Linked DNA regions of Saccharomyces cerevisiae S288C. Each later gene encodes a partner of the first gene's protein in a complex. Each region holds a gene or a part of one and is shown in the gene's direction. Other genes may lie near its edges. The genes, in order: MRPL36, MRPL38, MRPL35 and IMG2.

Region 1 (3,108 bases):
TGAAAGAAGCCTTTAAAGAACATGGACCTATCGAATCTCAGCACGGATTACAACTGTACTTAAACGATGATACTGATAGCGACGGATCCAAGAGCTATTTTAATGAGCATCCTGTAATTGGTAAAAGAGTTCCCTTCAGAGATGAGTCGGTCATATTAAAGGTTACAATGCCTAAGGGAACTTTAAGTAAAAATAATAATAGCGTCAAAGATTCTATCAAATCCTTAAAAGATTCGAATAAATTGAGAGTCACTCCTGTTTCCATAGTAGATAACACTATAAAATTTAGAGAAATGTCAGATTTTCAAATCAAACTGGATAATGTCCCCTCTGCAAGAGAGTTCAAAAGTAGCTTTGGCTCTCTGGAATGGAATAATTTCAAAAGTTTTGTCAATTCTGTACCAGATAATGACTCTCAACCTCAGGAAAACATCGGGAATTTGATCTTAGACCGTAGCGTTAAAATTCCGAGTACAGATTTCCAACTGCCGCCACCTCCTAAGTTATCAATGGTTGGTTTCCCCCTGCTTTATAAATATAAAGCTAATCCATTTGCGAAAAAAAAAAAAAACGGTGTCACAGAAGTGAAGGGAACATATATCAAAAACTATCAGTTGTTTGTTCATGATCTTAGTGATAAGACAGTTATACCGTCCCAAGCTCATGAACAAGTCCTGTACGATTTTGAGGTCGCGAAGAAAACAAAAGTCTATCCAGGCACTAAAAGTGACTCTAAATTTTATGAATCGCTGGAGGAATGCTTGAAAATTTTGAGAGAGCTCTTCGCTAGACGTCCAATTTGGGTTAAAAGACATCTTGATGGGATTGTCCCGAAGAAGATACACCATACTATGAAGATAGCGCTGGCACTCATATCTTATCGTTTCACAATGGGGCCTTGGAGAAATACATATATCAAATTTGGTATAGACCCCAGAAGTTCAGTGGAATACGCCCAATATCAAACAGAATATTTTAAGATTGAAAGGAAATTACTATCTTCTCCCATAGTGAAAAAGAATGTACCAAAGCCACCACCCCTGGTATTCGAATCAGACACTCCAGGCGGTATTGACAGCAGGTTCAAATTTGATGGAAAAAGAATACCGTGGTACCTGATGTTGCAGATTGATTTATTAATTGGTGAGCCAAACATTGCAGAAGTTTTTCACAACGTCGAATATTTAGATAAGGCGAATGAACTAACTGGATGGTTCAAAGAATTAGACTTGGTCAAGATAAGAAGGATAGTAAAATACGAACTTGGTTGCATGGTTCAAGGAAATTATGAGTATAATAAATACAAGTTGAAGTATTTCAAGACAATGTTATTTGTTAAAGAATCCATGGTACCCGAAAACAAGAACTCAGAAGAGGGAATGGGTGTTAACACCAATAAAGATGCTGATGGGGACATAAATATGGATGCAGGTAGTCAAATGTCCTCAAATGCCATAGAGGAGGATAAGGGTATCGCTGCTGGTGATGATTTTGATGATAATGGCGCCATAACTGAAGAGCCAGACGACGCTGCTTTGGAAAATGAAGAGATGGACACTGATCAGAACTTGAAGGTGCCTGCAAGTATAGACGATGACGTGGATGACGTTGATGCAGATGAAGAAGAACAAGAAAGTTTTGATGTTAAAACAGCGAGCTTCCAAGATATCATAAATAAAATAGCTAAACTAGATCCTAAAACCGCGGAAACAATGAAAAGCGAGCTCAAGGGATTTGTTGATGAAGTCGATCTGTAATAAGTAGGTTTTCTTTTATTTCAATATCAAAATATGCCAAATGTGCAATAAAACCATAACTACGTATGTGATATTTCTGAGTTTTGTCCCCAAACCGTAAAGAGCGATTATCTCGTGCAAAATGCATCAAAATCAAATAACTAAAATGAAAGGGTATCATTATTATTCCTAAAAGTTAAGAATGCCTCCAGAAAGAACGGGTACCAACGCAAACGAACACACGTTTTGTTCACTCCTAATGTTGAAGTCTATATTTGCGAAGCGATTTGCTTCCACAGGGTCATATCCTGGTTCTACAAGAATTACTTTGCCAAGAAGGCCTGCAAAAAAAATTCAACTGGGGAAGTCACGACCGGCTATTTATCACCAATTCAATGTCAAAATGGAGTTGAGTGATGGAAGTGTAGTTATCCGGAGATCCCAATATCCAAAGGGTGAAATTAGATTAATTCAAGACCAGAGAAATAATCCGCTGTGGAATCCTAGCAGGGATGACCTAGTCGTTGTGGATGCTAATTCTGGTGGTAGCTTGGACAGATTTAACAAGAGGTATAGCTCTTTGTTTTCTGTCGATTCAACGACCCCAAATTCAAGCTCTGAAACAGTTGAACTATCTGAAGAAAATAAAAAGAAAACACAGATTAAAAAGGAGGAGAAGGAAGACGTTTCTGAAAAAGCGTTCGGTATGGATGACTATCTATCTCTGTTAGACGATAGTGAACAACAGATCAAATCAGGTAAGTTGGCCAGTAAGAAGAGAGACAAGAAGTGAATAGTGTTTGCTCCCCTTACTTTTCTATTCTCGAACCAATTTATATTCCTTTTGGGACATAGATCTCAATCGCATCTGTTTGAAGACTACATAAACAGCCTTGTATATACCGCAACATATACACATACGTCTACATATGTATATATTGACAACGAAGATTCTGCGAACGCTTGGTTTGGCGCTATCGCGATAGATTAAGTGCAACAAGACACACATTTACAAACATAATATGAACCAGATATGATTCATGGATTATCGAGGCAAATGGTCTGTGAATGAAGCTCACTTACGCTGCAATAAGCAGCAACGGCATTGTAGTGATCATTTTCTACGCCTCGTAATATTTCAGCGCAGTGGAAAAAAATTGAAAATTTTTACTCTTCTCGAGTGTTGAATCACTGCTGCGATACTTATCACGTACTTTGTATACATAATTTTACTTGCAATTAGGACTCGAAATCTGTTCAATTACTTTTGAGGATTTCTTTTATTTTAGTTTCCCTTTTTGCATTCGTGTTGATTTTCAAGAAAAATTGTCGTTCTTCAATATCAGTAGACGATTTTACTCTCAGATTGTTA
Region 2 (2,828 bases), on another chromosome or scaffold:
GCGCAGGTGGCAGTGCGAGACCAGACGATAAGGGTATGGAAATACTAGGTCATCGGTTGGGTAAAATCATAGGTTTCGGCGCATGGGGGATCATACGGGAATGCTTTGATATTGAAACTGGTGTTGGTAGAGTGATAAAAATTGTGAAGTTCAAAGGACACCAAAATATCAAGAAACATGTGCTGAGAGAAGTAGCCATATGGAGGACTTTGAAGCATAACAGAATACTCCCCCTTTTAGATTGGAAGCTTGATGACAACTATGCAATGTATTGTTTAACGGAAAGAATTAACGATGGTACCTTATACGACTTGGTAATATCTTGGGACGAATTCAAACGTTCGAAGATACCATTTGCAGAGAGATGCAGATTGACCATTTTTTTAAGCTTACAACTATTATCTGCATTAAAGTACATGCATTCCAAAACGATTGTTCATGGTGACATCAAATTAGAAAACTGTCTGTTACAAAAAGAAGGTAAAAAATCGGATTGGAAGGTTTTCCTATGCGATTTTGGAATGAGTTGCCACTTCGATGAGAAGCATGTTTATCGTAACGATACTTTTGATGAAAACTTGAGTAGTGGCAACAGCCATAGAAAGAGAAAAAGTATTGAACAAACTAATTTGATAAAGTATCCCACAACCAATTTTTTACCTGACGACCGAACTAATGATTTTGACGCTAGTGAAAACTTAAAATACCAATTTGAAAATCGAAAGCATCAACCGTTTACACCAAAAGGAATGGTTAGCTCCAGTTCACATTCATTAAAGCATCTCAATCAACCATCCTCTTCTTCTTCTTCTAATCTATTTCACAAGCCAGCCTCTCAACCTCAACCACAGCATCGGAGTCCCTTTCATGGGAGGCACAAGACAACCGATTTTTCAAACCTGGAACCCGAACCTTCTAAATATATCGGATCTCTGCCTTACGCTTCGCCAGAACTTCTAAGATACTCAGATGCAAGACGTTCAAAATCAGTTGAAATGCATATTTATGATTCACCAGACTCCTCTCAATCGGAAATTAGCGCAGCATCATCATCTTCCTCTAATTTATCTTCTCTATCATCCTCTACAAAGGCGTCCGCAGTCACGAATTCCGGTGTAACTACAAGTTCACCGTCTGGTTCATCGACTGATTTTCCATGTATTGTTTCTCCTTTAGGACCAGCATCCGATATTTGGGCCTTGGGAGTAATGCTATATACAATGTTAGTAGGAAAATTACCCTTTAATCATGAGTTCGAACCTAGGTTACGCTCTCTGATTAAAGTAGGCGAATTTGACCGATTTTCTTTAGCTCAGGTCTGTAAATTTGACAGGAAAAAAAATGAAGGAACGATTGGTCAAGGCTTGTATGACACAGTCATTGGATGTTTGACGATTGACTTGGATAAGAGGTGGAAATTGAAAAGGATTGAAGAAGTCCTTCAAAACGAAATGAACCTAAGCGAGGCCATTCACGATAATAATGGCTCATGACTTATGATTAATGATATTGATTGCATTGAAAAAATACATACATTGTGCTTACTTTTTTTTCTCCCATTTTATAAATTATAACGAACTTCATAATTACTATTACGAAATATGTAAATAAGTATTTTTATCGCATATTTGATGCCTCTATCACTTATTTGGCGCTATTCATTGCGACTCGTGCAACGTGCGAAAACTCAGAATATTTTTTTGAACAGCCTTAAATCATGTTGCTAAATGACGGATGGAAGAAAAGGGACCTATAGAAGAGTTCGGATAAATTGTGAAGCGTGGATATTGGCATAGCGGATTTGTAGAACGGTGTGTCGTCAACCCTTTGAGATCTGGATAAGCCATATTTTCTAACATCACAACATGATATTTCTAAAATCTGTCATCAAGGTAATCGACAATTCAGGTGCACAATTAGCAGAATGTATTAAAGTAATAAGGAAAGGGTCCCCCAAGAGTCCTGCAATGGTTGGAGACAGAATAGTCTGTGTTATACAGAAAGCAAAGCCCTTGACTCAAAACATTACGGGGACAGCCAACACCAACCGTGTCAAAAAAGGTGATATTTGTCACGCAATTGTCGTAAGGTCTAAACAGCGTAACATGTGCAGAAAGGATGGCTCCACCGTTGCATTCGGAGATACTGCTTGCGTTTTGATTAATAAAAATACCGGTGAACCTCTGGGGACAAGAATTATGGCTAATGATGGTTGTGTAGATAGAACACTGAAAGACAAGGGATACAATAAGATATGCTCTTTGGCAAGTAGGGTCATATAAGAATAAAAGTACCCCCATTTTCCATTCATTAACGTTATAATCAAGGGACTGTAAACCAGCAAAAGAGCTTTGTCGTCATTATTTAATTAACCACCTGTATATATTGCTTAAATTTTAATGTATGACTTTAACTTTGAAAACGCATGAACGTGCTGCTGACGTTCTACTCATTGGAGTTGTATTCTTTTTCTTGTCTTATTCTATAATTGCATGCCGTGAATATTGTATACAAGATATTTATGTGGAATCATATATTAGGCAGCAATTCGTACTTTTCATCCACTGCATATCTAAAAGTTTGCCAACAGAAATCCTTTTTCTTGGTTCCCATTGAAAGATGCGATATAATGCGATTTTTCTATTTGTGGCCAACTCTGAGTTTACGTGCTTTAATTCTTCGAATACCCTAAACTGGTTTTTACGCTGCATTTCCTTGTAAAATTCATCATAAGACATATCTTTTTCTCTCGAAGCTACTTTCCAAAGATAATGCCCCAATATCATTGTTATATAAACAACGCCACAACTCCAACAGTCAATCAGTCT
Region 3 (3,315 bases), on another chromosome or scaffold:
GGTACTATTGCATCGAAAGCTATAGACTCCTCTCAAACTGCCGGCTATCATGTTGACCTGACCATCCAAGATCTATTGGATGCCATTCCAGATATATCCAAGGTCTGTGACATTGAATATGAGCAACTATGCAACGTGGATTCTAAAGACATAAACGAGGATATTCTTTATAAAATTTATAAGGGCGTCTCAGAATCGTTGCAGGCTTTTGACGGTATAGTTATTACCCATGGGACTGATACGCTATCTGAAACTGCATTCTTTATTGAAAGTACTATTGATGCTGGCGACGTTCCTATTGTTTTTGTTGGTTCGATGCGTCCTTCAACCAGCGTTTCTGCTGATGGCCCTATGAACCTTTACCAAGCAATTTGCATTGCTTCAAATCCAAAATCTAGAGGAAGAGGTGTTCTTGTTTCCTTGAATGACCAAATTTCCTCTGGTTACTACATTACTAAGACGAATGCAAATAGTTTGGATTCTTTTAATGTTAGACAAGGCTATTTAGGAAATTTTGTCAACAATGAAATTCACTACTATTATCCTCCTGTGAAACCGCAAGGTTGCCACAAATTCAAACTGAGAGTGGACGGTAAGCATTTTAAATTACCAGAGGTTTGCATTTTATATGCTCACCAAGCCTTTCCGCCAGCTATAGTCAACTTAGTGGCAGATAAGTATGATGGTATTGTTCTTGCTACCATGGGTGCTGGTTCATTGCCGGAGGAGGTCAATGAAACCTGCATGAAATTGAGTTTGCCGATCGTATATTCCAAGAGATCGATGGATGGTATGGTGCCTATTGCCAACGTACCAAAGAAAGGTTCAAAGGAGGATAATCTCATCGCATCTGGTTATCTAAGCCCTGAAAAGAGCAGAATCTTGTTACAATTATGTTTGGCAGGTAACTACACGTTGGAAGAAATTAAACATGTTTTCACTGGCGTCTATGGTGGGTGAAAATTTTGTAATTTTTTGCATTTGTGTCGATATATATATATATATACATAGACACAGAGATAGAGATATAATTATGCAAGTCCCTGTTAATGCTAGTCTGAGATGAGTACAGGAATTCTTCATTTAGATTGTCTCGGCTATGTCACTTTTCTATCGTTTCACCTGCACATGGCTTTGTCTTGAATACTGAAGCCGTTATTATAGTTCTATCTTCATGTTTTTAGAGGTTTTTTTTAAATGAGTTTATTAAAATTAAATTTTGAATGTTATTTTTGAATAAAAATATAAAAAAAATAATATTAATAATTTTTCATTAACTGCTCATGATATCAGTGCATTAGAAAATCTTTTGGTTCCACTTTTCCTATAAAAATAATTCAAGTTTTATCATTATATCATTTTTAAATATTTGATTATCATCGCCCGCTGGTCACCGCATTTTTAAAGAATAAATATTACTTTTTTCGAAATCTGGTGTTTAAATATTTTTAAGAAAGTTAAAAAATAAGGAATATTTGATAAACAAAAAAAAATTAGCCTTTATATATCCATTTTTGTTTATGTATTCCTTTTTTTATTTTCTTATGTGTTTGGGATTTACTGTCGCAGTCTTTTCAAATTTTCCGGGCTAAACCGGAAGCCGGAAGGTCTGGGATAAGACAACAGTATCCAATACAATATCAGACTACAGCAAAAAGCTTATTCAGAGATCTTTACAGAAATCAAGGTCACTGCCGAACTATGTTACGAAGATCTATTCATACCACTAAAATCCTCCAAAAACCTAATGCTACTTCGCATATTTGGTCGGACTTTACCACAAGGCCTAGTTCACTTTCTATCCAATCTTCAAAAGTGAAAAATTACCTTTTCCAGAAGAAAGCTTCTCTAGACCCACCATCTATCAGCAGAAGAAGTAACCGTATCAAATATTCACCTCCAGAACACATTGATGAGATTTTCAGGATGAGTTATGATTTTCTTGAGCAAAGATCCAGTAAGTTTTATGAGTTGGCCAATAAGACTAAAAATCCCTTGAAGAAGGATGCACTTCTCATAAAAGCAGAGATCAATAATCCTGAGGTACAATACAATTTTCAGTTTAATAACAAGTTGAACAATGTTAAGGATATAATAGATTATGATGTGCCAGTGTACAGACATTTGGGGAAACAACATTGGGAATCGTACGGCCAGATGTTATTGATGCAAAGGTTAGAAACGTTGGCTGCCATTCCTGATACTCTTCCAACTCTGGTTCCACGGGCAGAAGTGAATATCAAATTTCCCTTCTCTACTGGTGTAAATAAGTGGATCGAACCTGGTGAATTTCTATCGTCCAATGTCACATCCATGCGTCCCATTTTCAAAATTCAAGAATATGAACTTGTGAACGTTGAAAAACAATTGTATACGGTACTGATAGTCAATCCTGATGTTCCAGATTTGAGTAATGACTCATTTAAAACGGCTTTGTGTTACGGATTGGTGAATATTAATTTGACTTATAATGACAATTTAATAGATCCAAGAAAGTTCCACAGTTCTAATATTATCGCTGACTACTTACCTCCGGTACCTGAAAAGAATGCTGGAAAACAGAGATTCGTTGTTTGGGTATTCAGACAACCCTTAATCGAGGATAAGCAAGGTCCTAACATGTTAGAGATTGACCGAAAGGAACTAAGTAGAGATGATTTTGATATCAGGCAATTTACGAAGAAATACAATCTAACCGCTATTGGGGCACATATCTGGAGAAGCGAATGGGATGCCAAAGTCGCCGCCGTCAGAGAAAAATATGGCCTACCACCTGGAAGGGTTTTTAGCAGAGTTAGAAGGTGATCCTAAATAGTATGACATTATAGTATCCTGTACATATAAAATAACGTGTCATTGTTAATAAAGCTTGATGCAAATAATATAAAGTAAGAATCTGAAAAATTTTTGGAATGTGAATTTTGTTTACAATACGATACGTATGATATTAGTATGTTCTAGAATATATACATTTCATTTTTTTCCTTATTGTTTGTGCACTAACGAATGAAGAAAAAAATATGGAACATCTAGCGAACGAGAATCCATCATAACTTCGTCATTCAGTGCGAGCTAATGTGCATTTTTAGTATCCTATTTATGTTGAAGCTTCTATTTATGTTGAAGCTTCCTTCAGGGATTCAACGGCGTTAAGAATAACTCTTTCAAAATCTATATTAGGATCTTCCAAATTAAATGAGGCGTTCGCAGGCACATCTTTAGGAGTTACTACAGGGTGTAGCTTGGCGTATTCCTTCTTTGCCTCCTCTACCAGCTTCAATTTCTCCTCGTACTGTGCCTGCTCCTCTTTCTTCT
Region 4 (2,543 bases), on another chromosome or scaffold:
GAAGACGATTGATATAACAGATAACCTATATTCTTCATTAATAAAACCAGGCTATAACAGTACAGAAGATCAGATCACGCTACTGTATACGCCAAGAGCAGTTTTCAAAGTCAAGCCGGTAACTAGAAGTTCATCAGCCATTGCAGGTCACGGTTCCACAATTTTGTGTTCTGCCTTCGCACCACATACGAGTTCTAGGATGGTAACCGGTGCAGGTGATAATACTGCAAGGATTTGGGACTGTGACACCCAAACGCCAATGCATACTCTAAAGGGTCACTACAATTGGGTTCTCTGCGTTTCCTGGTCCCCCGATGGAGAAGTAATTGCTACGGGATCCATGGACAATACCATAAGATTATGGGACCCAAAAAGCGGTCAGTGTCTAGGTGATGCTCTCAGAGGTCATTCCAAGTGGATCACTTCTTTAAGTTGGGAACCTATACATCTTGTGAAGCCGGGCTCCAAACCAAGATTAGCTTCATCTTCTAAGGATGGTACTATTAAGATTTGGGACACTGTGAGCAGAGTTTGCCAGTATACGATGAGTGGTCACACAAATTCAGTGTCTTGTGTCAAATGGGGCGGCCAAGGTCTATTGTATAGTGGCTCTCACGATAGAACCGTACGTGTATGGGACATCAATTCGCAGGGCAGATGTATCAACATTTTGAAGTCGCATGCGCACTGGGTTAATCACTTATCTTTATCTACAGATTACGCATTGCGCATTGGTGCATTCGATCATACAGGTAAGAAGCCTTCTACACCAGAAGAAGCCCAGAAAAAGGCATTGGAAAATTATGAAAAAATCTGTAAAAAGAATGGAAATTCAGAAGAAATGATGGTTACTGCAAGCGATGATTATACCATGTTTTTATGGAACCCACTAAAATCTACCAAGCCTATAGCAAGAATGACCGGTCACCAAAAATTAGTCAATCATGTGGCGTTCAGCCCTGATGGTAGGTATATTGTCTCAGCGTCTTTTGATAACTCTATCAAACTTTGGGACGGTAGAGATGGTAAGTTTATCTCCACATTTAGAGGGCATGTAGCCAGCGTATACCAGGTTGCGTGGTCATCGGACTGCCGACTACTGGTGTCATGTTCCAAAGATACCACGTTGAAAGTGTGGGATGTAAGAACTAGAAAACTTTCTGTTGACCTCCCTGGTCATAAAGACGAAGTTTATACCGTCGACTGGAGTGTCGACGGTAAAAGAGTGTGTAGTGGTGGGAAAGACAAGATGGTAAGATTGTGGACGCATTGAGTTATGTGCAAAGACAAGTAACATACATGCACATATAAATATTATATAACTGTGATATAGAACTGCATTTTTTTCTTTTTGAATATTAAATATGATGGTGTCGCAAGGTCGATCTATAATGGTCATCGCGTACGAATGGCTTGGTATGAATTTAAAATATGGTACTATAAGCAGTATAGCTCCAGCAAGAAGGAAAACCTTTTGAAAGAAGTGCCCGTTTACCTAAAGCAACTTACTCCAAGGTAGCGTGTGAGCAAAACTATGATCAGTTCGTGTGTTACTAGATGTTTTGGTAGGGGTAAATGCCTTCCAGGGCCTGCCACTGCCTCGATATACCAAACGATAAGATGTATATCCACTAATTCAAATAAAGCTGCTGAGGCGCCAATATTTCCAAAGCTGGAAGACGTGAAGATGCATGAGCTCATAGGAAACAACAATTTTGGTAAAAAGACCTACTACGTGGAGAGAAGCAGGACCGGAAATCTACCGGTGTATTCCGCTTATAAAAATGGAGGTAACAAGATTATCACGGAGATCAGAAAGATTGAAGGAGATGTAATTCAACTAAGAAATGACTTGCAGGAGCAACTGCCTTTCATACCCAAAAAATCATGGTCTGTGGTGATGCAATCGAAAAAAATTATTATCAAGGGCAATGCAGTAGAGGCTGTCAAAAGGGTATTAACCAAGAAATTTTAGGTATCGCTAATGTATAAAAAAATAATTGTCATGTATATATATTAATTAAAATCATAGCCATGTGGTCATCAAGCCATCGAAAAGAAGTTGCTTACTTGTGTCTTAATGAAACCGTATGAGGCTTTTCGTGCATGCCCTTGTAGGCAATGAAACAAAGGCCAAGAACAGTTAAACACATCAAGGCTCTGGAAATTGGGTGGTTTAAATCATAGGCGGTGGTTCCAGTGGAGGTGGTTAAAGGTGTGTAGGCTTTATCGTTACGGAAGATGTTTTCCAAAGTGGAGCCAACAGACACATCGCCATTTCTAAACTTCTCGACTTTTTCTGTGTACGCAGCGTGCAAATCTAAGATGTTACTAATTTTTAAGATTTCTAGAACGAAATACAGGAACCGTAATTCATGCTGAGGCTTTCCATATTCGTCTGTTTCTGTGTATTGAATAGCATCCATTAGTTGATCTAGACCAGAAGTTATTTGACCAAACACGACACTTTTGCCATCCAATTCCTCATTTCCATCGGCTTTAGTGGTGATGATGAATTCCGAGGTGTTAGAATCAGGTCCAAA

What was found.
Region 2: MRPL36 (region 1) and MRPL38 share a complex: the UniProt entries of both Saccharomyces cerevisiae proteins name them as parts of the mitochondrial large ribosomal subunit.
Region 3: MRPL36 (region 1) and MRPL35 share a complex: the UniProt entries of both Saccharomyces cerevisiae proteins name them as parts of the mitochondrial large ribosomal subunit.
Region 4: MRPL36 (region 1) and IMG2 share a complex: the UniProt entries of both Saccharomyces cerevisiae proteins name them as parts of the mitochondrial large ribosomal subunit.

Annotation. Positions count from the first base shown.
Region 1 is NC_001134.8:483,391-486,498, reverse strand, and holds MRPL36 (mitochondrial 54S ribosomal protein bL31m MRPL36), read left to right. Parts: upstream 1-1,995; coding exon 1,996-2,529; downstream 2,530-3,108. Other genes in the region: transcription factor TFIIIC subunit TFC1, read left to right, coding at 1-1,757. UniProt on the Saccharomyces cerevisiae protein: Component of the mitochondrial ribosome (mitoribosome), a dedicated translation machinery responsible for the synthesis of mitochondrial genome-encoded proteins, including at least some of the essential transmembrane subunits of the mitochondrial respiratory chain.
Region 2 is NC_001143.9:128,769-131,596, forward strand, and holds MRPL38 (mitochondrial 54S ribosomal protein uL14m MRPL38), read left to right. Parts: upstream 1-1,865; coding exon 1,866-2,282; downstream 2,283-2,828. Other genes in the region: protein kinase NNK1, read left to right, coding at 1-1,493; putative serine/threonine protein kinase KKQ8, read right to left, coding at 2,520-2,828. UniProt on the Saccharomyces cerevisiae protein: Component of the mitochondrial ribosome (mitoribosome), a dedicated translation machinery responsible for the synthesis of mitochondrial genome-encoded proteins, including at least some of the essential transmembrane subunits of the mitochondrial respiratory chain.
Region 3 is NC_001136.10:1,108,888-1,112,202, forward strand, and holds MRPL35 (mitochondrial 54S ribosomal protein mL38 MRPL35), read left to right. Parts: upstream 1-1,701; coding exon 1,702-2,805; downstream 2,806-3,315. Other genes in the region: asparaginase ASP1, read left to right, coding at 1-960; TIM11 (F1F0 ATP synthase subunit e), read right to left, coding at 3,116-3,315. UniProt on the Saccharomyces cerevisiae protein: Component of the mitochondrial ribosome (mitoribosome), a dedicated translation machinery responsible for the synthesis of mitochondrial genome-encoded proteins, including at least some of the essential transmembrane subunits of the mitochondrial respiratory chain.
Region 4 is NC_001135.5:239,535-242,077, reverse strand, and holds IMG2 (mitochondrial 54S ribosomal protein mL49 IMG2), read left to right. Parts: upstream 1-1,534; coding exon 1,535-1,975; downstream 1,976-2,543. Other genes in the region: RSA4 (Rsa4p), read left to right, coding at 1-1,273; peptidylprolyl isomerase family protein CPR4, read right to left, coding at 2,067-2,543. UniProt on the Saccharomyces cerevisiae protein: Component of the mitochondrial ribosome (mitoribosome), a dedicated translation machinery responsible for the synthesis of mitochondrial genome-encoded proteins, including at least some of the essential transmembrane subunits of the mitochondrial respiratory chain.